Linked DNA regions of Alligator mississippiensis. The protein of the gene in region 1 interacts with the protein of each later gene in a pairwise test. Links are inferred from orthologs where the notes say so. Each region holds a gene or a part of one and is shown on either strand. Other genes may lie near its edges. The genes, in order: C2H4orf19 and PDCD10.

What was found.
Region 2: the proteins of C2H4orf19 (region 1) and PDCD10 interact in binary tests that used the Homo sapiens proteins (3 or more experiments, as listed by UniProt). The two-hybrid records come from large-scale screens. The link is inferred for Alligator mississippiensis from reciprocal best matches to the Homo sapiens genes PGCKA1 and PDCD10.

Annotation. Positions count from the first base shown.
Region 1 is NC_081825.1:49,321,104-49,337,188, forward strand, and holds the start of C2H4orf19 (uncharacterized protein C4orf19 homolog), read left to right. Parts: upstream 1-6,425; 5' UTR 6,426-6,517; intron 6,518-16,085. UniProt on the Homo sapiens protein: Acts as a tumor suppressor. Acts as a tumor suppressor for colorectal cancer cell proliferation by targeting KEAP1/USP17/ELK1/CDK6 axis.
Region 2 is NC_081830.1:73,253,710-73,269,794, forward strand, and holds the start of PDCD10 (programmed cell death protein 10), read right to left. Parts: upstream 7,732-16,085; 5' UTR 7,641-7,731; exon of another isoform or gene 7,636-7,640; intron 1-7,635. UniProt on the Homo sapiens protein: Promotes cell proliferation. Modulates apoptotic pathways. Increases mitogen-activated protein kinase activity and STK26 activity. Important for cell migration, and for normal structure and assembly of the Golgi complex.

The DNA.
Region 1 (16,085 bases):
GAGATCCGTGATGGATAGATTGATCAAATTCTGCTTAGGAACCATATAAGTACGACAGTGTATAAAATGGAATTTTAACTTTTTCAATCTCTTTTCTTCTTTTTAAGAACCAAGAAAATTATATGCTCATTCACGCCTATAATTAAAGACCACTATTAAGAAAAGATAGTCATGCATCAAAAGTTAGAAAAAAGCATAATTAAGCCTGCTTGAGCAACATTAATTCAACCCCCTTGTGTGTATGCATTATGAAAGAATCTTTAATCTTTAATGACCAAATACTATTTTTGACACAGGACATCTGCTTCACTGAATACACTGGATAGACATGCCCTGAGGAAGAATCTGGGAAGGTGTAATGTGGGAGATATGTAATAAAAAAAGCAGGGGTTTGCAGGAAGATAAAGATGGTCCCACAAATAAGGTAAAGTTCCCATGCAATTCAGACCTCTGGGAGACAGTGACATATTGCATGTTCTTCGTTTCTGGTACCTGACTCGGGATCCTGGTGTCTGATCAGAATAAGTGTTGAGCATTCATAGTGGAAGTTGAAGTTAATGGAAGCAGGACTTTGAACATATAAGGTGCTCTATATAATGCTATGTACTCTGAGAAATCAGGCCCTAGGTCAGCCAAATCTGACACCTAAAATCCATGGGTAGTTTTAATCTAAATCTCTCTTTGCATACAGAGAAATGAGGCACAATGGGAACATAATTTCCTCACAGGAATAACGGGAAAATAAATTCCACGTTGCCTGTAAAGCTCTAAAATAATATAACATTGAATGACAAAGGAAAACCTATGAGTTTTCCATTAATCAATTTCACTATGTAAAACAAGGGTAATTTCATAGGGTAATTAAGACAAATTCACTGCTAGTGAAGTGCTGAGATACTATCACAAAAAGTACCATAGAAAAGCTCATGAGAAAATAATTCTGTTTTCAGAGTAGGGTTTGAATAACATACCATAAAAAAGGCATGGGTCATATACTTAACAATAATGAGAGAACTATACACTGAACAGCTTCCCATTAGGTAGACTGAATGGGGCAAGGATTCTGCCAAAAACTTGGTAAGCAAGCATGTATTTAAAGGCCATATTAGGAGGTCTATGCACAAGGTAACCAAAGGATTACACAGTTACCTTATTTCTGGCATATCCTAATTTTTGTGTGCTTGACTTTTCAACCATAATAACAGGCTTTAAAAATAAGGCAGTTGTGTACAATATGGATGTTTAAAACAAAGACAAGAACACAAAAGAGAGCATGAAGGATCAGAGTGCAAAACACACATCTGTGATTATCAGTGTGGGCAAGAGGGTCCACAATCTGACTCTTTGGTTTGAGTTTAAATAAACAGTAACCAATTCTTGTGTAAAGTCAGATCCACCTGCAGTTACTCAAACTAAGCAGCTAAATAGCACCTTAATACACAGTGAGTACATCTCCATCAGATGCTTTACTTCTGATTAGACCAAATTATTGCTCAGTAAGCATCACTGTTTACATGTGCAGATGTTTACTGCACAGTAATTTGGTCTAATTGTGAGTAAATTTGCTACCTATTGTCACAACCCAAAGTTGTGAGTTTTTGTTTGTGTGTGCTTAGGCAACGCTAAATTATGTTCCCGCTAAAATTACAGCTTCCTTGCACGGCGGAGTTCTCTGCTGCGGGAGAGAACTCCGGTGCAACGGGGAATTTCCCGCCAAATTTGCAGCTTCTTTGCAGGGTGCATTTCTTTTGCATCTCAGAGATGCACGGTGTAAAGGAGTTCCTGCCATTTGTATGGGAGTTCGCGCCAAATTATTGGCCAATTCTGAATAAAGGTACACGTGGTGGCTAGCTATTGGCTTGCTAGCCGTACAAATGCTTGGGTGGTTTCCGCCCAAGCCGGAGAGAGAGGAAACCTGGAGAGACAGAAAACTCACCAGGAGGAGGAGAATTCACGCTGTGTGAAGATTTCTAAGCGATGTGGACCCTTACGGACCCAACGCACCTCTCTTAAGCAGGCAACAGAGGTCTGATCAGCCTCTAGCCTCTCCCCGTCGCCAAGCGCTGTCCTAGACGTATCCCTATCCTATATACCCAATTTTCAGATCCGCGGAGCCTTAACAACTCCGTGGTAGAGGGAACCGAACCAAGCCCACAGAGCTTTAATAACTCCGGGGAAGATTAGTGCCGTACGAACCCACAGAGATTCAGCCACTCCGGAGGGAACCGAACCCACGGAGCCTTAACAACTCCGGGGGAACTGAATCCATGGAGCCTTGACAACTCTGGGGAAAAGAGATGACTTGTCGTAATCCTCCAACGGGGATTCAAGCAGAGCTGTGCCTGGAAAGCTATCCAGCCTACACCACTACTTCTTTTGGTGTAAGTAAACAATCTTTTAATCAACCACTACGCGTCCGTAATCAATTCTAGCTCGCCGCGGTCTTCTCCGGCCCCGCGTGCCCTGGCTGCTGGCCACAGCCCGCGTGCGCAAAGATGGGCCCCAGCTCGCCCCCGGTCGGCCCGCACACCTATAAATACAAGTAGCAAATTTACTCATGCTTAGTCACTGCACAGTAATGCATGTGTAAACACTGACCAGGAGCAAATTTGCTGCTGACCAGTCCCACCACTAGGGGGCCACCTATAGCCCAGCACTCCCAGGGCCCTGGGGCTGGGAGCTTCTCCAGCCTCAGAGTTGGGGTGGCTCTTTGCCTGCCTCAGCCCCTAGCCCTTAAAAGCCTGCAGGGACACTGGGGCCCTAGGCCACCTGCAACCAACCTATGGCCACTGAGTGTCACTGCAGAGGCCCTAGGCCAGCCATAGCAGGCTGCCCACACCCTGGTGCCACTCCCTGGCACCACCTCACTGCCCAGCTGTCAGGCCTGTGCCGTTGCATTGTGCTGGGGACTGCAGGCACCTTCCAGGCCCAGCATCACCCTGGGCCACCTGAAGCCAGCCTCTTGCCACCAGGTCCCACTCCAGCTGGCTCCAGGTCAGCCACAGCAGCCTGCCTGGACTCCGCCGCTAGTGCCTAGCACACCCTCACCACCTGCCTGCCTGTCCCATGCCATGCATGTGCACTGGGCACTGCATGTTCCTGCCACGGTCCACCAGCACCAGGACTGCTACATGGATGCCCTGCAAACCATCAAGGGAGCCATGCTGGCATCATCCCCAGTGGCACACACTGCCTCCTGGGGCTGCAACTGGTCCCAGGAGGAGACCACAGACTTTGCTGCACTGTGGGGAGAGGCTGAGATTGCACTGTGGGGAGAGACAGGGTGACAGCCAGCTGGGTGTCCGTAGGGAGGGGCTGCCATATGGTGGTGGCCTGCCACACCAAGTACAAGCAGACATGCTCTAGGAGGCCTTGGAAGGTGGCCCAGATCATGTGAAGGGACTCCAGCCACTGCTCATTGTCCCAGGTGTTCTGGATGAGCACATGGACAGTCCCAGTGGTGGCATCCAGGAGCACATCAGTGGCATCCCTGCTGGGGTCCAGGAAGCAGCAGCATGGGGACAGGACACCTGGAATGGCACAGTGAGCCAGGCCAGGTGGCTGTGCCACACAGGGTGAGGGTCACCAGGGCTGAGACTGACCTGCACAAGGTGGCAGTCCCCGCGGCGGGTGAACAGGGTGAGAGCATGGTGGTGAGCAAAAACCCAGGGCAGTGGATGTTGCTCCTGGGGCCTGAGGGTGCAGCAGCCATGGATAGCAGGCAAAGGCTGTGGTGACAGAGCCAACACATGCTGCCACCATGCTCTGCTCCAGGCCAGGGAAGCATGTGATGGCCACCATCAGAAGAAAATTCAGGCTCATTAAGGCACTCTCCCAGGTACACATCTATACATGCACATCTGTCAGGAGCAAATTTGCTCCCAATGGGAGCAGTTCAGTCCAGAGCCACCCCTATCCCTCTGCCCTGCTCTGCCCCCTGCAGCAGCCAGGAGGAGCTCCAGGCTTCCCCAGGTGCCAGCACCAGGCTAGCAGGGGGGTCAGGCTTGAACTCTAGAGAGTGGGGGGAGCTGTCCAGGATTGGGGAATAGCTCCCAGCCATGCAGTGCTCAGGATTGCAGCCCGGCAATGTGGCACTGGCTTGGGTCAATGCCCTGTGCCCGAGCATGGAGGTAAGCAGTGCTTGAACCATGGGGGGACACATGGGGGAAGCAGCGCTGGGACTTGGGGGGATATGTGGAGAGGAAGCAACACTGAAAATGGGGTCAAAGAAGGGAGACACAGCAAAGTAGCACCAGTCCCCAACACTGCATTTCCCACCTCACCCCTTGTCTCCCCTCCAGTCCCAGTGCTGCTTCCACCCCACATCTTCCCCCCAGTCCTGGTGCTGCTCAGCTCCCAGCTCTCTGCAGGCATGGGCAGGGAGTTGAAGCTGACTAGGGGACTAGTCAATTTTCCTTGGGCAGGGGCAGGCAATTATTTTGGGCGGAGGGCCACTTACTGAGTTTTGGCAAGCCATCAAGGGCCTCATGATAGGCAGCCAGGGGCAAATAAATATTAATTTTCTAAATGTTTTAGGGGCCCTGTGCGCTGGATAGAATGGCCTGGCAGGCCGCATCTGGCCCTCAGGTTGCATTTTGCCTACCCCTGGACTAAGGTGTGTGCTACACATGCAGCAGCAGGGCTGAGGGGACTGGGGACTAACAAATGATGCATTAACCTAATTTAATGTTCAGTAAGTCCTGTACACATGTAAAAGCTGATGATTTATTGGGCATTAGATTAATCTAATGTGCATAAAGCATTTCATGTAAATGCACCCAGTGTCTATCTAAAACACAATAGTAAAATAGTCACAGGAGTTAGAACAGGTGTGGGTACTGGCTATCTGACAAACTCCAGTGATTCTTCACTTCTTTATCAGAGCCTCCAGGTCAGATCCTCCTAGATAGTTTAATGTAAGCTTTTTAATAATTTTTATTATTATTTAAAACCTTCCTCATTCTTGCAATCTATTTTCAGGAGTACTAAAGACTAGGGAAAAGGAAAACTGTCAAGAACATCTGCTACAGAAGCTCTTTGAATTGGGGAGTCTGAAAGTTCAATTATGTTCAGCCCCTGAACAACATACTTCCTCTGTTTAAGTCAAGGACATCCAAAGCATTTTTTTTTTTGTTAGTTTATTTATAGGTCTAGGCTTTGATTATGTAGCAATGGAAAGGAAAATTGATGCTAGGTGGCGCAGTTGTTTTATCCACTGCCTTTCCAAACGGAGCTCACAAATGCAGTCTATTGGGCTCACAAGTGAAACAACTCTTGTTCTTAAATCTTTATAATCCCACTGAGCACAAGAAACACCATGATGGAGCAAATCTTGAGCAGAAGTCAGTAGATTGCTTGTACAAGCAGAATTTAGCTCTTTGTGTTTTAGTATGATTGCCATTCTTTTCTCACAGGGCTACAATTTACCTACGTACTAGATCACTAGGGAGTTCACAGAGTTCTGTAATCCAACATACAGCTACATGTAGCTATAGATGTATTCTAAAACACAGAAGCGTGTCTTCCAGGACCATACCTAGAATTATCAGCCTTATTGTCATAAGCCTTAAATTTAAAAGACAAAGAAATAATTAGTTAGAATATTCCTTATTATTTATATTAATATGAATCTTGTCGGATTAGACAAATACAAGGTCTTGGACACACACCTATGAAACAAGGGAATGGCATTGTTTGATGCAGCCAGCTCTTCCCAAGACTCAGTTTACAATCTCCAGGTTCATCAAGGGGCAGTATTATAGGACCTGAATAGGGAAAACTGATCTGACTGGCTGCTAGCAGGTATCTCTGAAAATCTCTGGTCTGGCACTCCCTCCCAGTTGGAGAGGGGTGAGTGAGGGCTCTCCTTTCATACCACATTTGAAAATACCTCACCCGGAAGACAGTAGTTCTAGGAAAGTCAGTAACTTTTATGGACAGCCCTGATATCATACCTGTAAGTACTTATTTTAGATGCAAGTCCTCTGAGTAGCACCACCTAGCACACCAGTCTACACTTAAGTACTAGGCCAAAGTACCTGAACAGAGAAACAGAATTTTTAGCAACTTTGTTCGGCCCAATTTCTGACTTGGGGGGAATTTTAAATATACAATATAGAATTGCAATACTATTACATCAGCTGGCTTGGAATTGCTTTCTTTAAGTGCCTGTTTCAGCAAAGGAATCATTTGGTACATTTTCTTTTCTTTTCTTTGTTTTTTTACCCTGACCAGAAAACAAAGAGGTTTGTCAAGTTTTTTTCCAGCTTGCAGGTAAAGGGTTACAGATTCTAGGAAGTTTTAAATGCAAACTTTAAAGGATTTTATTTTCATCTACAGTCACATGATACCTTAATACCCAATGACACTAACAACAGTGTCTCATTAAGAGGTCATGCAAACTCTCAGATAAACAAGGCATTCTTACATATTTAACATTCAAATGCAGAAGCCAAGCTAAGGCATGGAAGATTTTAATCAGAAGAGCTGCACTTCCTGACCAACCCAAAAGTCTCAGGTAGGAAAAGTTCTTATTCCTTTATGTTTGTCTACATTCCTGATGTTAACTATATTTTCAAGATAAAGTGTTTACCAGGTTTTTGATCTTTTAGTTTTTAGATTAATCTTTCTAATAGTTTCAGCTGGAAAACATTTGAACTCCTTCTTTAATGTTGCACCTGTTGCAGAGGCACTATGTTTTCTGAATAAAAACATTTACAGTCCACTTAGTGGTAAAGCACAGCGGAGCAGATTGATTTAATTAAAAAAAAAGTCTGACCACCTAAAGCTAAGATTAATTTTAGTTATCCTTGTTGCTAAACCATTCACGTTGGGTTTTTGGTCGGGGGCAAGTGGGTGGTTGTAAGAAAAAAAAAAGTTGATACATTCCTTGTGCCTGAAAAAAGGAGTCTAAGCATTTCTGACTTTTTTATGCTATGAATTGCATATATCATTTCAGTGAATATGTATTTTAATGGATCTGGTTTCCCATGATTCCAGTTTCCCAATTCCCATCTCCTAAAAATCTGGTTAATTCCTCAAAAACTTGCAAGTTAAATACAACGCAGGTGAAGTTGGAAACCTCAAAATTCAAAAAAAGGAACAAAATATAGAAATGATGGGCGTGGGGGAACAGTTAAGACCACAACTCTTATTAAAATCTGGGAAGTCAGGTATATATTTTTGTATCAAGCCATATTCAGCAACACATAAAATGGCATAAGGTACCACTTACCTTAGTAGTATCAGGGGGGTCATGGTCTCATTATTGCTGCAGAATTTCTATGTACTGTGTCAGGCAACAAATAGACCTCTTCCCCATATGAAGACCTCTTTCCACACTTTATTTTTTTCTTCCAACAACATAATTGTTTTAGACAAGGCACTATCAACTCACCATTGTATTCCCTTTGCAGGAATGTAGTACCCAGACTTGTTTGACAACTCTCCCTCTAGTTTATCAAAAGATTGCCCCATTGGGAATTTCTCCTACTTAAAGCAACAAGCAGCAATGTTGATTTTCTCTAAATGCTATCCTTCTGAGGAAGAGAGGATGGTTGCTGGGAAGGCCCTTTCTTCAATTTATTGTATAAATATATTTTCTTGTCCTAACTACTATTAAGAGAGAGAAGCAGAAGATAATAATAATGTGTCACACTTAATTGTGCTCTTCAGCCAGCTGTCAAAGCGCTGTCCAAAGAAAACTACCGTTACCCACATTTAATACATGAGGAATCTTTAAGCCCCCTCAAGCTTATCAACTGCATTTTCAGAAGTGGACATAAGCTTGAACTTGCTTCAATTTATGGATTTCTAATTTGAGATACCCTAGGCCTAGTATTCAAAAAGGCAGAAGAAAAATCAGTCCCAGAATGTGTTGTTGGATTTCCAGAAAACTTGTCAAAATAGGGTCCACTCTTAAATTCTGGCTAGAAGCAACTACCATAAATCTACAACACAACTCTGGGGCAAAGGCAGGAATGGAGTTCAGCCAGCCAGGCATTCCCACTCTGCATCCTGTATTAAGCCCTCAGAAGCACAGTGCAGCTGCTTCGCTGCCCAGATTGTCAGGGTAATGAGTATTCAGTTTGAGAAGCTTACTCGGAGATACTTGTTAAAGCTATGACTCAAGGCAGTTGCTGTGCACTATCCTATATTCACATATTAACACTGTTCCAATGTGGTTGATCAGCACACAAAATTACTGTTTAGAATGAAAATAGGGCAATGAAGACTTATCAGTCTGAAGGTATATTCACTTTTCAAGAAGGATGGGCTGATTTGCAGACCAGGGACTTTGAGGACCCCCACTACTCCCATATGTCTGCTCCTGTAGTCCTATACCCAAGCAAGACTTCATGAGTAGACCCCGAACTTCAGACTCCCCTCAAGGCTCCTGCTGCCTGCAATGGACTTAGAATCAATTAAGTATGTAGAACTGAAAAAAAAAAAAAGAAAAGAAAGTGGAAATCGATTTTTGTCATCAAATAGCTGTCTTACTTAATAACATGCATTTCAATATTTCCAGATAAGATCAGCCAAATTATAGGATTTGTTGCTTTCACATAAATATTCGAAAAACACCAGTGCAACCAGCAATTTTGCAGAGATTTGTTTGTGAAGAATAAAATAATTTTTTTTAGCTGTCAGTACCAAAATACAGGAGCCTTTGGTTTGGTTTGGGTATGAGTTGGCATGATAATTATCTAAATGAAATTCTGGTTACCTTAAAGTAGCAGTATATGTTTATTCAAATATCATTCTGTGAACATTACCTTATAACAGCCAGGATGTTATCTTGAGCCAGATCCTAAATGGTATGAATGGGCACAGCTGCACAGATTTCAGAAAATTTTAAATTAGATGAATATCTAAAATATTTATGAATTAGATTACTATCAGCCCCATCGGAAGAAAGAAGCATTCAGCTGTGCATCTCATCTAGCATCTGAGAATGTGCTTATTTTTGTGTTACTGCTGTGCTACCTACTGTTAGCAGTAGTATAATCACAGTAACAAGAAGCCCCAGTCATAAGCCAAGAGCCCATTGTTCTAGGCCCCATACAAACACAGAACAAAAGATGGGAACTTCAAATAATATAAGTACATCAGTCACAGTAGGTCAGGTTTTGTTGACAACTTCTTTGATGTAAAACTAGAGTAGGACCATTAGTTTCAGAGGAAATACTTTAAATATATACTATGATAGGTAAGAATAGAATTTGAACCAAAGTTCTTAAGATCACTGCAGAAAACTTTTCATATAATACAAAGTGCATAGTCCATGATCCATGGGAGGGGAATGTACCAACTCTAAGACTGGCAGCCATCCCACTGTAAATGGAATGGAAAAGGAGTACTGCATCTTTAAATACCAACCGCAGTATATTATGACTCTTGCATTTTAAGTAATGTTTGTACAGATTGGGTGGGTCATGGAAAACCAATATTTAGCAGCTCAGTAGTTAAATCTGCTACATGTTTAATTACGTAAAATGTTCTTAGCGAGTTTGAGAGGTATTGTATTAAATATTTGCACTGGATATTCAATATAGGTTTTCCATGGCCTCAGTCATAAAACATACAGAACTTTACTTTTAAAAAGAAAGAGCCTGAACTTGGATTGAGAAAAAATACAACAATCACATTAATTTCTAAGAACCCAATAGAAATGATATATAAACACCTGGCTTCCTTGTTAGAGGTTCCGCTGTTCCTTATACCAGTAATTTAACAATACTTACGGTAATCAGCATTGCTTTGATTATTGCATTTTGATTATGACATACTCCCATTTAACTTCATGCTTAGTAATGTCAACATGGAGTCAGCTGCAGAGGTGACTCATGGGGCTGCCCTGGTAGATGCACATAGACCAAATACTTCCTTCTGGTTCAAAGGCAGAGAAAAATTCTTGGAAATTAATGAAACATGGACAAACTCTAAAGAAGGGTCTAACAGACAGACACATAATCAATGTGACCCTCAAATAGTTAAAACAATATTTTTTCTGTCTTGTTTTTACAGTAATAGAGTTATCAGGGAACAGCATTATTATAAATGTCAGTCAGTTATGGGCCTAGAAGGCCCATTGGGCTAGTGTAGTTAAGACACTCCAACTTCCACTGCCAGAGACAAACAAGGAAGCAAAGTGGCTAGTATTCCAGTCATCTCTGACTACCTGGACCAAACAGTTAGATATTTACTTACAGTTGGACTGACAGAGGGTAACCTTCAGCACAAATCAACAGCAATACTACATCTTGATTGTAGAAATGAAGCAAAATCCCTTTACCGTTCTGTGGCCATGCTTTTAGGGTGTGAGCAAGTGTTTGCTGCACCTTTACTTCACTTTACTTTTAGCCATCTACACCTAGACTGCAAACAAGCATGTGCAGTTCCAGGAGTAGTGTGCGCAGGCATTCACTGCTCCTGGGAGCCATGTAGAAGCCTGGTGTTAGTAACTCAGGGTAGGAGGAAGGGCAGGCAGGTTGCAGGGAGGGTTGTGGGTCCAGGGGGTGGGGAGGTTGGTAGAATGAAGGGCGGGTAGCATGTTCACAGGGCAATTTGCTGGTTAGGAGTGATGGGGGGGGGAGGGGGGAAAGAGGGCTAAAAATAGCTCACTCAGAGGGGGCATTGGCAACATGTAGGGGGTGCATGCACACCCCCTGAGATTGGCTGTGCCCCCCGCAGTCTTTAAACTTTTCATCTAAACAAATGGGTTCTCCAGCAGCACAGTGCCATGTAATCCCATCCAGGAGTGTTGATTCAATACTGACTGACAAGCAAAGGAGCCCTACTTTCTGAATTATGAGCACCCCATCAAGCAGCAAAAAAGTTTTCTTCAAACCAGCAGTGACCTGGTCAGTTTAGGAGAATTAATGAGAATACAGCCCAATAGTACTGTGTATAGCAGCAGGCAGTGCCAGTAAACTGAGAGTGGTTAATTGTTACTATACCATAGAACTCAAATACTGGAAAGCAGGAGAAAGAATCAGAGAGAACAGGATTGAAACATGAATCATTACGTGTTTTTATTGCTCTAAGGTCTATGTCTAAATAGCTAAAAGAGAGAATTGAAGGAAGGATGAAGAAAAAATGTCATGAGGTTACTACAGATAGTAACAATCTCTCCATGGTTCCAGTTAATAGCTCTCATTTAGATGTGTGATGAAATTTATATTTTGTTCTGTACCGATCATATTGCCTGAGGAAGTATGAACTAAATACTTCTTTTGCAGTAACAATAGAAAGCAGACAGACAAAATCCAAAGAGTTTCTCTTTTTATCTGACCTTTTTTCTCCTTCAGTTTTTATCCAGCAGCTTATTTAACTCCCCATTCCTTATTCAAGTCATAAATGTCCAATGTAGAGCCACAAATGCTTTCTGGTGATAAAGACTTTTTATAGTTCCATGCTCCATTGTAAATTCACATGCAACCTCATCTGGTGATTCAGAAGGAAAATTGAAAATATAGAACTCCCCAAACTCTGTTCTTTAATATCATTCCCCACTTTGGAATAATTTCCATTCTCTAAAAATTGAGCTGGATTTTGACTGAGTATGGCAACTTAAGATGCGATTAACTGGCATGGCAGAAGTGCAATTGTTGGGATCACATATCAGATATCATTGAGCCCTTAATTTAACATCTGTAAATGGCCTTAGACTAGTCTAAGTTAGCTTATGGCACATAAATAGGTCCAATTCCTAACCATAACAATCAACTAACTCCTACTAACTTCTAAGTTTGCCTGTCAAATCTTGTAGTGACAGAACGAGACCCTAAGGCTAGGAACAGAATTTACAAACAAGCCGGTATAAGTGTTCAGAAACTGGTTTAAAACTAACAGAACATTCAGTGCACATAAACCAGTTTCAAAATGGCCCAAACTGGTTTGAGATAAACCCAGTTGAATGTAGTATCATGCTTAACTGATTTGGCTCAAAACAGTTTATGCAATGTCTGTCCCAGACCCCTTCCTGGTTTAAGTTAAACCAGAGTCCCCCAGCATCCCAAAATGCTTTCTGGGCTAGACTCTGCTCCAGCCCAGCCAGGCTGGCTCCGCCCTCCTGTTCCCCAGCCAGAGCACAAACAGGCAGGATCGGGGGTCTAGCCAGAGAGGCATTTAATTTCCCCCTCCCTGTGCCACCAACAGGGACCTGAGCCAGGTCTGCTGGGCGCTCCCCCCTTGCTGCTGCAGCAACAGGGCACCATGGACCCTGAGGCAGAGGCGGGCAGGGAGGAGGGTTAGTCGTCTGTCTACCCCCACTAGCAGCTGGGTCTGCCTGCTGTCACCGCCACACTCACTCCCTGAGTGAGTCCAGTGTTGCCCTTGCTTTACCTCTGGCTCCCCACATATCTAAAAAAGGACTTTTTATTGTCCTTGATATTTGTAGCTAGTTCCGTTGCAGCTTTGGCTTTCCTGGTTTGCTCTCTGCAGGTTCGGACCAGTGCAGAGTATTCCTATTCAGTCTATTTTGTCTACTGAAATCCTGTCTAAGATATTTTTGCCAGGGACTTCCATAGAAACAGGATACAGCCTAACACCATACATCTATATGGAGTATTCTGATGTAATTGCTTAACAAAATGAGGATGAAAATAAAAGAGCTAGCGTAGAAAACATGGTGTTACATACACTTTCACCCCAAGACTTGAGCATCACCCTGTGGACTCATTGTATCCCCCCTTTCTTTTGCCATCCAATCTTGTTTCGCCATTGTTGGAAAATACTCAAAAGGGACAGGTGATATTTTTATAAGGGATGACACCATTCTTTGGTAAACTGTTGATCCCCACTGTACTCACTGATGGGATCCTTAGTTGCTTTGATGAGTGATTGCTAAACCATCAGACTGTCACAGTCATCATCCACAAACAGGCCCTAGGTACTGGCCCCTGTGACAGCCCATTCTCTCATTTAATGACATAGTATCTGCTGCTGTGAGGATGACTGTTCACCCTGAGAGGCATACTGCTGCATCACTTCTCCAGCAGTATCTTTGGAGCTACATTACGTTGTCCTCCTGTAAATGCCTGAGCTCTCTGCATGAATATGGGGACAGAGAATCAACTATGATCCCATACACATATTCATTTTGGACTGCCAACACACTTTCATGGCATTTCTCATCCTGCAGCTGCATTCACCAGCACAGTGCTTTTTGCCCGGGGGGATGCTGTGGGCAGCCTAACTGTAATGCAGTTTTCTAGCATCAGGGTTGAATTCAGTACAGATGTACCAACATACATCTGCTATCTTTACACCTTTTGTGCTTCCTAGCAAATCAGTGCTTCCATGTATGTAGTGCAGTTTCTTTCCCAAGAGAAAATACTATCAGCTCCTACTCCTCTGTCATCTGGGAACTGAATATGAACCTGATTGTGATCTCACTCATACACCTTTAAGTCCACTGATTTCAAAGGAGCTACTCAACTGATATACTGAGATCAGTATGAGACCCTGCAGATTTCAGGCTTTTGAAGCAAAATGAATGCCCTGCACCTTTATAACTCAGTGGAAAAAGAGGTTACTGTGTTATCAATAAACTGAAGAAGCCTTTGTTTATGTCCTTTATGCAGGTTTTCCTGCTCTGGGTGGGGCATGGAAAAAACAATATTTACCTGCTGTGTAGCTCTACTGTGTGTGTTTGTTTTGTATTATCATTTCTCATGTAAATTTAGCAGATGTCTCATGAATTGATATCAGCTCTGGACTTCCAAGTTGTCTACTAAACAGCAGGCTAGGAGTGAACAGGCAACATCTGGGCATGTAAGATATACAGTGAAATTCCAGCCATTGATTCATAGGCAAAGAAGTTTAGAGAACAAAATACTGCAAGATTCTCATTTGCATTTCAAGTGAAGCAAAAGCTAAACTATCAACCCCAAGCAGAGAGCCCTAAGGCAGAAGAAAGTCACATGAAATTTATGTTCTTGAATTATTTTGAATTCAAAACATTTGGAAACACTTTTCACTGCACTGAACAAAATCAGATTGCTAGAGGGTTGGTCCTTATTTACTAATAAATGTTAGAAAAGGCAAGTGCAATTCCAATAGTTTGGCAAAGAATATGCATACAAAAGAACAGCAACCCTGATAGATTAAATCTGTTTGTTGTATGATTTAAGCACAGAATTGTCAAACAAATGTAATTGTTAAACTAGGTGTCTTTGAATCTGATACTGCTCCCAATGAGGTTAAGGACAAAATTTACACCAACCTCAACAAGAGGCACAAAAGCTCATTTCTAAAAATCAGGTAATTTATTAGGAACTATAAAGAGTTCAGCAATTCTGAAAAAAATATTTAGGCTCATAAGTAGATGACTTTAGAAGTCACAGGTTTTATTATGTCTTGTTTATCATTTAATAATAAAATAGGTTTTTAATTTTTCATTCTCTTTTTTTTTTTCCTAAATCATAGTCCAGACAAATATTCTTCTCTTTTGGTGTCCATCCAACTTTTCAATTTGCATTTGGATTGCAGTGAGTGAGCATTTCTAAATTTACGGTGCAGAGTGAGACCTAGCACCAACTAATCAGATTTGTGTTAACCTAGCTTTAAGTATTAATTCAAAAGTTACACAGTAAATTAATAAATGTCCACTGAATCAGAAATAATTTTAATGTATACATAGTATAATTTCCCTGCTTATGTGTATAACCTGTTTTGACAAGCACAGGGCAAATCAACATATAACAGAGCAAAGCATTTCACCAGCACTGCTGCAGTTGTGCTGCATTCACTTTATCAGATTAGAGTATATGCACAGTCCAGGCTTACTCTAAACTCAGATGGTCTAAACCCAGAGCATGGCAATTTAAGTATCCCAAAAACATGAATATGTTTTATTGAAAAAAACAAAACAGTTTTCATGTCTTCAGCATTTTAACTAGAAGTTTTATCTTATTTTACTTTTTGGTTCAAAATTTCCCAACCTAAAAAGCAGTGAGTCTTTGATGTAAAGGTATAAGATCCTCTAAGGCAGTGGTGCTCAACCCCCAAAGATCCAGCCTGCAGAGCTGTGTCCATCCAGCTGGCAGGGGGGAGGGGGGAGAGGCTCCCCAAGGATCCAGAAATTTGGGGGTGGAGTGATAGCAGTTGTAATTGCCACTCCCCTGCTGCTAAATTTCCAGACCTGTGGGGAGTCCTTTAAGATAAATAATGTGACCTTCCATGCTAGATTGCATTGGCTGGCAATTGAGCCAGCAAACAAGGTTACTCCATGGCTGGATGTAGGCATGCAGGATCACACCTATGGACTGACCCTACTCAATAACACCACACAAGATCCAGTCCAGACTGACCCCATGCCACTCATCCAACCTGCAGTGTTGGAAGGTTTGGCACCAGTGCTCTGAGGCAGGGTCAGCTACCTATGGCCAATAGGCCAGATCCAGCCTGCTGAGCCATGGGTTCAGGAGCATTTGGCAATGGGGGGATTCTCCATGTACTGTACCACAGTTGGCTGCCCTAGGCTTCAGTGGAGGGTGACTCTGCTTACTCTGCACCCCTTTTGGGCAGCATGGTCTTTCACCACACCATAGCTGGATGGTGGGGAAAAGCAGTGGTGGCAGCTGGTTTTAATGCCCAGATGCCTCAGACCTAAGTTGAGTCATTCCAGCCCCTACCCTTCCCCCCACCAGAAAACATTACGGCCCCCTGCTCTAAGGTGATGGTCCAAATCCCCAAATCCCAAATGCTCCATGTGAATAATCCCTCTGATACAGACCTTTTCTATCTGTAGATCTGAGAGAACTTTACTGAGGAGCTAAGTATAATTATCTACATGGAAAAAAATTTTAAAAACTAAGGCAAAGAGAATTGAAGGAACTTTCCCAAGGTCACTCAGCATACCTGTAGCAGAACCAGGAAAAAAAGCCCAGATTTCCTAAATGCCAGACCAGTGCTGCAGCCTCCAGACTAAACTGTATCTTTGTACGAAAAGAAATTTCAGTTCAGTTTCAACAGCGTTCTTATCCTGAAAGGGGGCACTGCTGTTGCCAATAAATAGTACTTCCAGGCACTGGGAATATGCCATATCAAAAAGCAACCTGAACTACATTATTTACAGCTAA
Region 2 (16,085 bases), on another chromosome or scaffold:
AACAAATAGAAAACTTAGAGTGTATTTAAAGAGAAATATAGCATGATGAGATGCATGCACATTGTAATTTCCTCCTTTTGGAGGTGGAAAACAAAAACTTATGTAGTAGTTTATGGTGAGACGCAAGGTAGATAATGCTTCCTTACAAACATACACCTGCAGGTTTAGAAAGCAACCAGGCTCAAATATCAGGCTCAAAATGAACAAATATGATCTTGAAAAGAAGGCTCAACATCCCAATTACAGATTGAATTATGGTCATCTTGGAGAGCCAATGTGAAAAGACTATCAGATGTTATCACTCAACAGAAATTGTTATTAGAAAATGTACTGGTCTTTACCTACAACTAAGTCAAGGACAACAGTTAAATCTTAATACGAAAAACTATCATTCCTTGTTGGGGAGTGGCGAGGGAAGAAGTTGAGCATATGTAAGTCTTATACAAATTGTTCTTTTAACCAGTCTTATGTCGCCTGATCATCAGCCATATCACTGCAATTCACTTTACTCATTTTCAAATAATGAAAAGAAACAAGTTTTTGAGGAAAGGATTTGTTATAAATTGTATAAAGCACTTTGTTTGCATGACTTATAGCAGGGGTGGCTAATCTGGGGCACCGGGGCCACAGTCTTTGGGCATGACACATGGTAGACCAAGGAGGGGAACAAAAAGCAAAGCAGCAGATCAGGCAGGGAGGATAACGAAGAAAGCAGAGCAAATGATCAGGCAAGGGAAGGCAGAGTGGCATTTGCTGCAGGGGGCGGGGAAGGAGGCACAGGACTAATTTGTGGCCTGCCTGCCAAAAAAAGGTTGACCACCACTGACTTACACTACAACTCACTGTCTTAACTAGAAGTTGACATCTTTGTCCTGTAAGGCAGGGGTTTTCTTTTTTAGTTTAAGGGGGTAGTGCGTGGCCAGATGCTGAGAGAGAGAGAGAGAGTGTGTGTGTGTGTGGGGGGGGGGGGGAATAGCGCGCGGCTGGACACAGAGCAGGGAGGCAGGGACAGTGCACAGATGGGTGGGGACAGAGCACCACTACCTCCCAGGACCAGGGCCAGGCTGGGATGAGGAAATTCTTCTCCAGGCTGGGGTGAGGGCAGCAGTGCCCCTCTGCAGGGGTGGGGAAGCTCACTGGGCTGGGGTGTGGCAGTGGCAGCAGCTGCTGCGTGTGAGCTTCCTGCTCCTGGGAGGCAGCGACACTCTGTCCCCACCCACCCATGCATACCCCTTAGGACTGGTCCAAGTACCTCCAGGGGTATGCATATCTCCAGTTGACAACCCCTGCTGCAAGGCAACACCTTGTGTGATCGGTAGACAGTACAAGGCAAACTTGCATATTATTAGTGCCTGAATAAGCTGGTCGAGGCATAAGAAAAGAAAAGATGATGTACTTAGTGCTCTTAACTTCTCACATGACTTAGCAATTGAGGGGAGGAAAAAGACAAGCAAAAGATGGCAGCTTTAACACTGCCTAAGGCACAAGGAGGTTTGCCAGACGCAGTTTACATGAAAGCCACTTCTCCTTACACTTCATAGAAATGAATGTTTCTAGTCAAGCAGGAGGAGTAGGTTCAGTCCATTTTACGGATCAAGACCTTCAGCTGACAGCCATAGCAATCCATGAAGTGGACTGAGGAACTGAAACACAAACTTAATGTTTGCTTTGTGGACCATACCTTAGTTTAGGGTCTCTGCATTGTTTCCACATTCAGCATAGTCTAAATACCACTGTACCTATTATGTTCATTTTGCGTTAAAGTCCCTTTCTTTTATATGTAATTAAAGGGCTACCTTTAATCTACAAATGCTACATACTCTGCAGACCACAAGCTACTCTTCCTGCTTGACTAGAAGCATTCATTTGCATAAAAAGCGTAAGGAGAGGTGGCTTTCACGTAAACTGTGCCTGGCAATCTTCCTTGTGCCTTAGGCAGTGTTAAAGCTGCCATCTTTTGCTTGTCCTTTTCCTCCCCTTAATTGCTAAGTCATGTGAGAAGTTAAGAGGCACTAAGTATACCATCTTTTCTTATGCCTCTGCCAGCTTATTCAGGCACTAGTAATATGCAAGTTTGCCTTGTACTGTACACATGGATCCATCAGAATTAGATACAATACATCCACTAGAATGCAGCTTCATGTGTTGCTCGTATTTGGAACAATGCAGATCCCAAAACCCAGAATGCAACCAAAAAAACTAGAAGACAAGGAACTTTGAGTTCATGGGAGTTTGGATAAGGAACAAGTTTCCAAACATTAATTGTAATCCAGACCGTGGCCATTTTTAAAGTTTAGTGTCCTTCTTCTTTGACAGAGGCCTTTTCACCATAATCACAATGACATTTTGTTACCTTAGCTTTCCTAAGGAAAAACAGGCACATTCCTAACAGCTTCCTGTTACCCAAAAAAAAAAGAGAACAACCTGAGAACCTGTCTTCCCATATAGTTTCCCATACCAGTCTAACAGAAGACATGCCCATATGCACTGGTAACAAGCATCAGTACACATTCTAAAATAGAGGCAGTCAGAACAAGAAGTGCAAACAAGGTAATTATAGTGCCAAGAGCACTGTGAAACATGAGACATTGTCTCTGCTCTGAAGAGTTTTGCTAAAGTCAGCTCTTCAGTCCATCATTTGGTGGTGGTGAAAGCATATTGCCTCAAGTACACATGAAAGAAGAAAAAAAAAGGGGAAAACACACAAGCTCTTGTAATTTTTGTCCCACCTTTGTAATTTTTCTTTCCAAAAAAGGGAACTGAAGGAAAGGTGCAGCTTTCTACCATATTTTTTAATGATGCACAAGACAAGGAATACATGAAGCAACTGTGGTATTCTACTATAGCTCATGATAATGGAAATGATACAGGTTAAAGTGTCTACTCTGCCAACAAAGGGTGTTAATTACAGGGTAGGAAAGACCTATATACCTATTAAAGGAAACATTGTTAGTTAAGCGTTTGATTTTCAGAATACATAAACTAACACTGTACTTAGGAATTTAAAAAAGTAATATTAGAGTACTATATGAATACACCTCTTTGTACTAAGTGCCTGAAAGGTGTTAGGAAAGCAGTTGTCACAACTTCAGTTACTCCTGTACTTGTACCCTAATTATAATAAAATCATAATGGTTAGTATTTGTATAACTAGTAAGAGCTGAATGGATTTTAATCACGACTGCAATGAACAATTTTCTTAAACGTGCTTCTAGTTAAAATTTAAGTTAAGAACTGAAATAGTCATACTTAGGAGTTGGTGACCTCCGAAGCCTCAAATGAACTTAAGTGTCAGGACTAAAGAAACGAAATCAGTTTCTCTGTCATGCAAAAAATCTACATATGCTTATACCTGAATCTGGAGAGCTTGTAAAAACTGAGCCATTCCTTTAAAGTATCACTATTTGTACACCCTGGGAAGACTCACCTCCCTTGTTCACAATACTAGTTTTAAAGCTCAAACTCATTCACACACACATGCATCATATGATAAACCTCCACAAAAATACCTATCCTGATCTGTAGAGGGATTTGCCAAAAGTGAAGGGGGTGGGAGGGAAGAGAATCAGAAATAAAACTAGATTTTGTACACTCTCAAATGAGAAAGTAGCTTACACTGACACATTAGAAATCAAATTCTAAAAAACTTATTTGCCAAATGTCAGCCTTTATTCTGCTGCTCCATCCCCAAGATCCTGCATAACAAGCACTATTACAACATGCCCCCAAAGATCAATAAAGTCCAGCTATTCAGACTACAGGAGTCAAAGGAAAGATCCAAAGTGTCTGATTTCACTAAAAAGTGTGCTACTCCAATTTCTGTTTCTTCATATTGATGGGATCCCTGCCAAACACATACTACAGCAGCCCCTTAAAATGTTTGGCTTGCAGGATCTTAAGCTCCACCCAGACTCCAAGAAGCATTAGGCACAGGTAACAAGTCCCTAATGTGAAGTGTTCCCTGTAAGATATACCACTTACGACCATGCTGCTGCATCCTGTGCCAGTTAACTATGCTCAGTAATCTGAAAGCATAGTCCCATGAAGAGTTCACTTTAGCAGCCTAATCTTAAAAGCTACAAAGGTATGGATTACAGTAGCAAGATCTCTATCCAAAAGAGGCAGTAAATCTCCACAGCTAAGAGAAGATTTTAAAAGTCTGTCTAGACACAGCTGCTTACAAGTTAAGACCATCTTTGAGTTGCAAGATTTACTAATAGACAGAATATAAAAAGTCCTCAATTAGAGAGAAAATCCTAATCCCTAAACTATCTTCAGGATACTTCTCCAAATTATCAGTTACAGCAGTAGCTGAATTAATTGAAATTCTGCAGCTTGCTTTCATCCATGCCTGAAGATTTAGGGTAAGCATTAGAAATGTAGAACTGTCTGTCATTATCATACTGAAAATACCACAAACTCAAAAATCTTCCCAATGGTCAGATATGCCCAATGACCAAAGTGTGTATGTGTGGGGGAGGGCGGGGGGGACTGAAAAAAAACACACACACAGGTACTCAGTCTTTATCACCAATAAGCAATCTAGCTATAACACTAGTGCAATCTCCATCCCATGCTCAAGTGCCAACTGTCATGGATCAAGGAGAGCAGAATTACTTTGGCAGTCAACTGTGACACCACAACTTTCTCTATATCATTAGCCAATAGTGGAAAAATAGATACTGTATATGATTTACCAGATTTACAACAATAAAGAACTGGTTTCTGAGCAGAAGCTCCATAACAGTTGTCTCAGAGAAGCCACCACTATCACTAAAGGAGGTGCTGATAATCTAACAATGTAATATTCCCTACTTTCCCTGAAAGGAGGCTGTATTGAAAAAAAAACTCCAAGATCTCTAGCGCAGTGGTAAGGATGAGGCCTAAACTCCACCAGGAAAAATTAGTATTCATTATGTAGGATCCCATTTTGCGTTCATGGAGGTAGACAACTTAGAATTTAACAGATGCAGGCCACCTCCAGACTAATACAAGTTTCTGAACAGAAAGCAGTTGACAGTCACTTGTATACGTGGCAACGTTTGTGACTATGAAAAACAGCAAAATGTGGTTAGCTTTCATCATATGCCACTTCTATATAAAACTCACAACGTAATGTAAGATTATAACGCAGACAACTTGTCAGCGGTACGTGTTAATAGATTTATTATAATTACTTTACATGACAAAAAATTGCTGGTACTTAAGGTTGTATTGTTTTAAATTGGTGGTGCGCAATGTGTCAGAGTTCGGGAAGCGCTACATTACACTATTAGGCCCTTGTTCCTTATGGAAAACTAACTCAGGCACCTGTGCTACATTTGAGTAATGCACTGCAACTTATGGCCCACCTATACCCGTTTGTTTTTAGGACAAAATGTACTAATATTCCACCTACCACCACATACCTTAGATTTTTGTTTATTTTCTTTTTTTTAAATCAATTTTAGTTCAAAAGCCATTTCACCACTGGGGAAAGATACAAGGTATGCATAAAATAAAAATCCTGCTGCTAAAACAGATAAAACGTGGTATCTGCTCCTTTGCTACCACTTAAGAGACTTTGTCTCACCAATTAAGAAAACAGCCACCTTGAGTCTTTCAGGTCCCAGGGACAAGTGCAAAGTGGTACCTAAATATAATTTCTTGTCTTCGTCCAATGACCTTCCTCAGCACTCTGGAGGGCCTGCAGAAGACTTCCTGCTCTCACCTTGCTCCAAGGTACTTCATCCAGATGGATACTTGAACTAGATTAGATACTTGGGGTGGATAACGCAAGTTCTACCTGTGGTTACTGAAACTATAAGCAAAAATTCGAGGAAACGCACAGAAGAAAACATCACCCTTTCACGTGCCCCTCTAAAGGGAGTTATGATCAGATGCAAGAACTTGGTGTTACGAACCTAGAAGCTGGAGTTCAAATACGATTCCACCCAAAACATAATTTTGCATTCTTCTGACTGCCATGGCAACTGACAATACTCATTGACCTTCCCATAATGATAGTGGTCTTTTTCCACTAGTGTACAATAGTGGGAACCAAACTTTAGCAGGCATGCCACAAGGAAAGCCCCACACCCACCATAAGTGCCACTCCAACCTCCTTCCCCTGCCTGATCTGCTACAGTGCTTCCTGCTCCCCGCCCTATCACAATGTTCCCTGCTCCCTCCCCGATCTGCTGCATGCCATACAGAGGCTCCCTCAGCCACAGCTTGGCCACCCCTGATCTACAAGATGACTTCAAACACCCTTCAAACCATTTGTCAACAATGAATCATATAAGAAAAAGGAAGGGATACAAATCACTATGATCAGGCTGATTAGATTTTTGTTTAGCATTAAAAAAAAAAAAACACCAGACCACCCACTTAAGTTAACATTAGAGGAATTTACTACTACTGCAAAAACATAATGAACTTGGCCAGTCTAGACAGGTAGAGGTTAAGGGAAAAAATAAAAAAGCCACATGGTCTTGGTTGTATGGATTACACTTTCCCTTACTTAACATTGAAAGTAGCTTAAAAAAAAAAAAAAAGTAGCAAAAAAATTACTGATTCAAGTTTAGCTTTCCCAAAAGCTTTTCTTAACTACACTGCTACTTGCACAGCCTGTGAAATGGTATATTCATATAGAAAGATGAAAACAAGCAACTCTACTCCTATAAAAACATGACTGTCCATGCACATACATTTAGTTATTTTGTATATGGCTGGGTGCCACTACTTCAGAAGCTAAACTAAGAGGTCACAGGGGAAAAAAAGCCACTTGGGAGAACGCTCAAGCCACCCACTTTTCTAAATCCGAATCCATTTTGAACCTCATGAGTTTTGCAAGTCACTCCTCCCGAGTCAGAAACCCCTCACCCTACACGCAGTCAGGGATTCAGCCCTTTTCCACCCTACCTCATTACTACGCCTAGCGAGGATGCAAGACGCCAGAACCTGCCCTCTGGGGCTGGGCTCCGATTTCTTACATCAGACAAATTGAAGAGCTGCCTACCCGTGAAGTAGCCAGGATCACAACCCCAGCAACTAGACTGCTTGCCAGGCAAACCCCCTCGTGACAGCGCCCCCCAGTTTCTCTGCCAAGTCTATTTTGGTCGGCGGCCTCCTCAGGCCTCTTGAGATTCACTCCGGGCCCCTCCTGCACCCCAAGCTGGGGCTGGTATGTGAGCGGAGCCTCCCGGCAGCGACCCCGGGGCTCGGCACCTCTCTGCGGGAGGACGGGGCTCAGTCAGCCCGCACAAGGAGCTGCACCCGGGGGCGCCCCAGCCCGGCTGACACCGGAAGGGCAGGTCCGCCGCCCTCGCTCCGGGCCCGGCCTGCGGGAGGTGCCGCACCAACAAAGGAGGGGTTTTCGCTTTCCCCTTCCCCCACACCCCTCCCGCTGAGGGAACCCGGGCCCAGTGTGAGCGGGACGGGAACGGGGACGGGCGCGGGCACCTCCGCAGCACCCGCCCCGCCCCCACCCTTCAACCGGGCCCCGATTCTCCAAGGAGTTTTACGCCCCAAGAGCAGCGTAACCTCGGCGGAGCCGCCAGGCCCTACGCAAACACCGCAGCGACCCCAGCGGGCCCGGGGAAAAGAGAGGAGAGGGCGGGGGACAAAGCACCGGCGCGCCCCCACGTCCCGTACCTTACCTCCCCCCGCCCCTCCGAGCCTTCCCAGCTGTAGCGCGGGCCCCGCCGCCGCGCCGGAAGTGCCTGCCGAGTAGGAAGCGGCGGCCGCGGTTACCACACACCAGGCGTTGCCCGGAACTCGCCGGGTACCGCGCGGGCTCCTGGGAACTGTAGTGACGCGCCACGGGACTACATATCCCATCATGCCGCGCGCGCGGCAGGGCGGGGGAAGGAGGAGGAGGAAAGGGGCGGGGCTGGAAGAGAAGGCGGAGAAGGAGCGACCAATGGGCGCGAGGGCCCTGAGAAGGGGGCGTGGCCCCGAGAGGGGCTGGGGAGGCGTGAGGCAAGGCAGGCGTTGGCGGACGCAGTCGAATCAGCCCCTAAGGCGGTCCGCGAGTCGCGGCCAGCGCGCAGCGAGCCACCAGAGCCGAGCCGCCGCGGAGCCGCGCGCAGCCCAGCCCAGCCTCTCCGCTCCGCTCCGGGTGAGTGAGTGAGGGAGTGCATGTGTCCCACGCCGTTCCGCGATGCTCATTATTATTATTATTATTATTATTATTAATTTGTAGCGCTTCTCCAATTTGGGGGTTGTTTGCCCTAATTAAGTATGTATGTATTTATTTATTTATTTTGGCACCTTTCCCCCCCCACCCTTGCAAAGCTTTAGCCTGAAGGCGTTATTCAAAAGTGCCCCTCGGGCTCTCCTGGAGCAGTGGAGATCCACACCCACCTCCCCCTGCCCGAGCCCGGGGGGAGAAACAAGCCCCTGCCTCTGGGTCCAACGCAGCTTATTCCTCGCCCCTGCGCTGAGCAACGCGCCCGAGCCCTCCTGTTAAAATGTGATTTGTCTTCCCAGCCTAATAATCCGGTTTTGCAGAAGCTCTTTCCACACTCCTGGTCGCTGTTTAAGATCTCGGTCTTGTTTTTCTGTTCCCCCGCCTCATTGTGATTTGTAATCCAGCGCCTTGTTTGACAGCGGTTGGGGCTGCGTTAGCATCTGCCCTAGAAAATCCATTGTAACGATTCAAGAAGTTTTAAAAACTGCGGGAAGTCAAAGGGGTGTCTCTGAAAGGCAGCTCTTTCATGTGTAAGGTGCAGCAGGGGAAAGGGAGCAGGAACATCTCTCCGGGAAGCCGGCGAGGTTATTGTTGAACAGACGTAATAAAATATCAGTTCCGAGACTTGTGCCGTTTTCCTTCTTCAATTTGAAAGCGTGTGACAGCATCCCATTAAAGTGTCTTTCTCATTTATTATATGCTGTAGGTTGTATCGTGTGGTTCGCTAAACCGTGTGACACGCAATATTTGAAATCAGCCTCGTTGAAAGTTTCACATCTTGACAGCTTAATAAAATGAATCTCTGACAACATATATTTCTAAGCCTACTTATATGATAATTCCCCCCCCGGGGCTTAAAAAAAACCGGAGAAAAACTAAGTTTTATTTCAGACCGCCTTTAGGAATAAAAATCAAGATACTCTAATAATTGTGTACAGCTCATTGAGCTCTTTAAATACAAGACTCCGTTAACTTAAAAATATTATTACTACTTTAAGTTCATCAAGCTGCAGACAGTGGTACTGTGTCTTATCTACAAAGAGCAAATTAGGCTTTATTGTAGGAAAGCTTTAGAACTTGAAGCTTTAAATAGTATCTAAAATCAAGAAATGCTTTTTTAATAAATTGGATTTCAGAATCCATTGCATCTCTTTGATTTTAATTACATAAATGTAAAAACAGAAAGTTTAAAAATGTACTGTATATTGTATGATACCTAATATATTAACACTTCCTATGTGTTCGGAGACGCATGCATGAGAGATGCCACCAGCTGAATGAATAGGTAAATGATTAAGCTTATCAACCAGTGGTTATCATTTTCTCACAAAGAGTATCATAATACAAAGCCATATATACCTTTGTGGCACCTGGCTCTGTAGTGTGGGAACAGAAACCCCAAATATAGGCGACAGCAATACAATGTGGAACTGTTCATCACATGTAACGACATTAGTAATTTAATGCAAAAGAAGGCAAGAACGCTCGGGAAGACATCTGGAATGTTGTGCTCCATTGGAAAAATATGTATTTCATTCCTCTTTCTTTTGTCTTAATCTATTCTTGTGTGATTCATCAGATACCCAATAATGCACATCCCTTGTTATCTGTGGAGAACACTTAGAATTTGTGTAATGTTCGTAAATTTTAATGCATGTCACTAATTGCTGTTGGCTTTGCTTCTTGAGGACTTTTGGTTGAATAATCTTCGCATACTCTGCAGCTGAATCTGGTAAAGAATTAAGCTACTATCATTGAATAAAAGTGTGTGCATGTCCCCTCTTCTGTGAAACAATCCATAAAATGGGTTGGGGTAGATTTATGTTATATCAAAATATTATTAAATAGCTGACATCTCCCCCAAATTCTTTAACCCTGAATGTAGCTTCCTCATACTGGAGTCTTTAGTTACAGCTTAATACATATTTTCTTCCTTTATTTCATCCTGCTTTTTCAAAACTGGTTTATGTTGGTTGTGTTGGTTTTAGGGGGAAGTGGGGAATTTTTTTTAATTTACTACAAATAACAGTCTTTAATTACTTTATAGTGCAAATCTTAAAATATAGTTAAGGCACACTAGATGTATGCTTTCATAGTGTAAGTCAAAGCATTGATAGGTGTTTGATAATATAAGGCACAGCAACTTCTACTTCGTTCTTGTGGAACTGCATAAAAGAAGCAAATTTTGAGGTAAATGTTTGGAGAGCTTCATTCAAACTGGCCCAATTTAAGAAGTGACAGCTCATAGTTGATTGAATGACAGCCATGTGATTTGAGCCTTGCCCGCTCCCCACGCACACACGCTTTTCCTCTCCTCCTTCCCACTAAGGAAATGAGAGATGACCCGACTGGTAATTTTTGCTTCCTTTTTTTTTACAGAGTCAGGTCTTACCTCTACCAGCATCCTAGCTCTAAAATAAATGTAATGGTGAGGGCAAGTGAAAAGTATGGCTTGTTCAGGCTCAGTAAACTGCAAGTGAGAGTTGTAGTCTTTGCCCTTCCTCCCCCTTCCTCTATTTTCAGTGTTAATGATAGTGGGTAAAACCAGAACATAAGAACTATCCATGCTAAACATCCATCTCACCCAGTCCCTTGTCTCCCATAGTGGCAAACAGTGGATGCTTTAGAGCAGTGATTGTTAAGCAGATGACATTCAATACCAACAAATGTAAGGTGCTCTAGCTTGGGGGGGGAAACCCTGCAGCACGCTTATAGGCTTGGCAGTACTATGCTCGCTAGCACCGTGGCGGAAAGAGAGTTGGGAGTCATGAATGACCACAAAATGAACATGAGCCATCAATGCGATGTCACAGCTGGTAAAGCAAACAAAACCCTGGCTTGCATCCATAGATGCTTCTCGAGTAAATCTCAGGATGTCATCCACCCGCTGTACTTGGCCTTGGTGAGGCCGCAGCTGGAATACTGCATCCAATTCTGGGCTCCACATTTCAAGAAGGATGTGGAGAAGCTTGAGAGAGTCCAGAGGAGAGTCACGTGAATGATCAGAGGACAATAGAACAGGCCTTTTGAAGAAAGGCTGAGAGCCATGCGACTTTTCAGCCTTGAAAAGCACAGGCTCAGGGGTGACCTGGTGGCTGCCTATATGTACGTCAGGGGTGTGCATCAGGATCTAGGGGGAATGCCTGTTCACTAAAGTGCTCCAAGGGATGGCAAGGTCCAATGGTCATGAACTCCTCCAAGACCGTTTTAGGCTGGACATCAGGAAAAACCTCTTTACTGTCCAAGTCCCCAAGGCCTGGAATAGAGTCCCTCCAGAGGTGGAGGGAATCTATTCTGGACTCTTTTAAGAAATGTTTGGACGCTTATCTTGCTGAGATCCTTTGACCCTAGCTGACTTCCTGTCCCTTGCAGCCCTAGTATCTATGAAGCACCCTGGGGTGCCTTGAGATCCTTTCAAGTGTGCTACAATGTGCCATGGAACATTAGCACTGGTAGGTGTGTAAGCAAGATTCACAAGAGAAACCAAGAGATTTCAGATAGGAATTCATAGTTTTAAAACAATTCTGACCTGTTGTCTGAGTCTTTTTGAGCTCTTTGCAACAGAAGTGCTCTATTATTTTTCTGTAGTCAAAACATGAGTGAAAATTAAGAGCTGGCTTTTTCTGAGAGATGCTTTTAATCTAATGAGGGTGCCTGGGGGTTGAGAACTGCTGGTTTAGAGAGAGAGTATGAGAAACTGGGAATGTGCCCAGTCAGACCCTCTCAGTTCTTAAAAATGGTATGAAGAGGAGCAAAATTACAAATCTGACTCAAGGTGGCTTTTAAGCCATTGGTTCCACAAATCAAGGCAGAGTCCAAAATTTTCTATAAAATGAAGCTGGTTTTAGCGGTCTTATTCTCATTTCACTCTTACATAAGCCCAGTAATGTCTCCCTTGAAGCCTGTGGAGGTACACTAACAATGGGAAGAAAAAATCAATTGGTGTTAATGATAGCTTTTCCAGTTAATTTGTCAGGCTTCAATAAGTAAGATCTGCACTTTATTACTATGAAGTAGCAAATATATCAAGTGCACAGGTTTTGAATGCTTCATGTAACACTGGAGGCAGGAAGGGAAACCCCAGACCTTTTATTTGGAGGGAAGATATTTTATATCTTACCTTTTGGCCATATTTCTAAACTGATGTTCAAAATCTGTCTTTGATCATCCAAGGGATATGTTTCAATACACATTATAGATAAATGGAAATATAGACATGCAAGCTTTTGTTAAAAAAAAATATATACATGTTTTGCAAGGTGAAATCAGAGCATAGTGTAATCTATTTTCACTTCTGTTAAGATCAATTTGGGGAAGTCTGATTGTGTAATGGCTGAACAGTAAGAAGGGAGGAAATGCTCTTTCATATGAAACTAAGTTAGTTGTGGAAGTTTTGTCCAATAATCTCTTGTATTCTAATTTTTGTGCCCACAAATGTTATGAGTAAGCAAGGAGACATTTTAAATTGTGTTACAATCTTCACGTGGCTTCTTCAGAGAGAGCATGGTACACAGGCAGTTAAAACACTTATCTCAGGAGACCAAGGATGTCTGTGGTAGAGGTGGGATCAGAACCCATTTTTATATCTTGACCACAAGATGATTCTGGACTCCAGTGAGCCCATCCGTATCTCCATATACACTTGTGGATTGAGGTTAAGTCATTCATCCTGTTTTGTGAATGCTTTGTCCATTTTCACAAATGGACAAATGGACCTGCCGAGGCATACATGATGTTGGAAAACAGCCCATCTGCTCTCATGAAGCCCATGTCATTTATTGTTCCTATGACTGTTGTCAACATTTTACTTAACAGAATGCTCCTTTCCTGAACAAATATTTTCCTGTAGGACTGTCATGCAAGAACTAATGCCAGAAAATGTTTCTCTGTGCCAAGTGCCTGTTCTAAGGATCTTAGCCTCCTCCTACCCTGTTGGAGTTCATCGCTTTTCAGTCGGACCTTCCATTGCCACCCTGTCGTGGTTACAAATACACGTGCTCACCAACTGTAGCATTGTGCCACAGATGTTAGAGACAAGATGTTTATTGTAATGCCTTTATTTTCAAATCAGTAGTAGTAAAATGTATTGAAAATTAGTGTCTAGTCTTACTTAGGTTTATTTTAGCTATTTAATTATTTAACTCCTTCAGCCTTTCCTTCTTGATTTAATTTTGATGGGCTTGGGAAATTTTACCAATACTTTGCTTACCTATTTTATTTGTAGCATCGCAGCTATTTTGTTTCTGAGCAACCAAAGTACTATAGAAAATTTGAAATTTTGAGAAGAAATTGCTCCTCATTTGTATACAGCCTCTGGCATATTTGAAGACATTTGTTGCAAAAAAGGAGCATTTGATAATCCATGTACTTTATAGACAGTGTATACTGGGTTACTTCATAATAGCACACTTGGAGGATAAAATTTACCTTGTGCCTGTCTTAACAGGTTAGGAGATCTTCATCTCCAAAGTCCAGACCTTGATGTACACGGAAATAAATCTGACACAGTATCTAAGTGTGTATCTTTATTTAGATAATGAAAAATCTATTTGAGAATTCTTGTTTTATTTTATATGGTGAAAAAAATATTGAGCAACCACCTTGCTACTTGAACACCATCCATCCTCTGCACTGAATCAGGCAAGAGCGTTGTTAGAAAAATAAGGTGAGATCACAAAATTAAAGCTGGGATAAAATTCCCTGGTGAGGGGCAAATTAAGATAAAACTAAGAGCTAATATTTCAGTGTTTGACTTTGCAACCTTAATGCTTTGTTTTTCAACATAAAAAAATCACATGAGCAAGAAAAATAGGAGGTTTGGGGTTTTTTTGTGGTGTGGGTTTTTCTAATAGACAAAAGCAAAACTATTTTAATAAATACTAGTAGCAATAAATGTAACATTTTATATCCTGTAGGAATGAACATTTAAAAGAACAAATATAAAATGGTAGAGATGTAATTTACCAGCCACACCAATTGCATTAAGGGGTTTGTTGAACTGCTTCTGTACTGTAAATATAGTAAGTAGCCAAGCACTTTGGCTCAAACAGGGAAAATTTGGAAATAAGAATATACATTTTTTTGGAAGAAAGTTCTCCCAAAGAATTTCAAGCATACCTAGGGAGTAACACAAACTATTTTAAAAATACAAAAGGGCTGTATTAGTATTGCTGTAGGAAACACAACTCAAACTTTCAAAGAAGTCCGGATATAAAGGAGGAATGCTTTTTCTTTAATTTTTCAGACACCAAGTTCTACCTCCTAACATGGTCATCTGATATTATACTAACTATAAATCCAGCTAATAAGATAGCCCATACAACTTGTACTCCAATGACTGACTTATTCTTGCTGTGCTCTAATCAATAAACCAGTGCTATGTTGCAGTGCCTTAAAAGCACAAGCTTCATTTTGTCTCTGTTGGATTAGAGTCTGTCTTGCACACAAACACACAGTCTTTTTAACCTCCACTTATGTTCCTTACTGGGTTCTAGGCTATATCAAAGCAGTCACTCGTAACAAAAGTTGTCTGGTTACTTCGCATTCAAAGTAGCCAGTCATAGTACATGGCAAAATGGCCATTACCTGTTGTCACAGGGCTACGCAATAGCTGTGCTGTTCTTATGTGCCTGTTTTCAAAACACTGGCTATATACAGACAGTCATTTCCACCAGAAGGTATTTCTAATGTTCGAAATATAACCTGGGTACAGACATCCTCCTGCCCTATGGTTGAACAGCATCAGAGGCAAGTTCTTGAGCCAGGGGGCACTAGAAGGCCACCGCTACCCTTGCGGGAGCTCAACTGACCACCTGTAGCTGCCACGGAGAACAGGGGAGGGTTTCTACCCTGGAATAATTTCCCCCCCCCCTCATCCAACCAATCAGCTGGATGGTCATTCTCTCATGGGAGGCCTCCTGACTCTGGCATACCCTGGAAGATTGTCAAGAGAGGAGGTAGTTTCAGGAGCCCTTCTGAAGGGGCACAGGCAGCTTGCCTCACCCCACACTGCTCCAGTGAGTTAAAAGTAAGAGTGAGCTGACTTGGAGCAGAGAGAGCTCTGGGGGAACTGATAGCAGAACAGAGCAGGATGGGTGGGAAGCTTTTCACTGTGGATGCAGAGCAGCCTGCCTTGCTCTGTACTGCTCCAGGTCAACTGGGCAGTGGGAGCAGGAAGGGGAAGCTGGAGACGCTAGAAGGCAGGAATGCAGAGACTTTCCCCAAACCTGGCTCCTGGCTTCCTCTGCCTTTTAAATCACCATCCCCACCACCCAGCTGAGCAACAAGGGGAACTTGAGGGGAAGCCAGCATGGCCAAGAAGCTTGCAAGACCAGCTTCTGCCTATGTTGATTTTCAGTCACCAGTCCTGCCACTCAGCTGAGCAGTGGTGAGGCAAGAGGAAGTAGGCATGGGGTAGTGCTCCCTGTGCATGGCTCCCATGCCTGGGAGTGGAGTAGAAGGAGCTACATGGCAAAGCCTCCAGCCATTTCTTACACTGCAAACCACAGAGTAAGAAGCAAGCAGGGAACAGCTAACAGCTTCTCTTTCCCTTCCCTTGGTCTCTGGGATGAGGTGGGAACAGCTGCCCCCCATGCCTTCTCCAGAACAGGGACCCTGGTCCCAGTAGTTCCCTGGCTCCATGCCCCCTGGTACCTAATAGGAGCTATGCTAAGGGTGAAATTGTGAAGACATTCAGAAACTCTCCTGGGAGCAGTTTAACCTTGGTTAGTCCCAGGTTATTTTTCTCTAGGAGTAGCCATTGTTGTTCTAGGAGAAAAAGCTTGAATGTCTCCATTCTTTGGGTTTCTACTGGGAGAACAGCAATTATCATGGTAGAAACTGAACATTTGTACATGGTCACTTAGTGTGAGACTTTGTGTATAAAGACATTGATCCCCTACACTCCATGGTT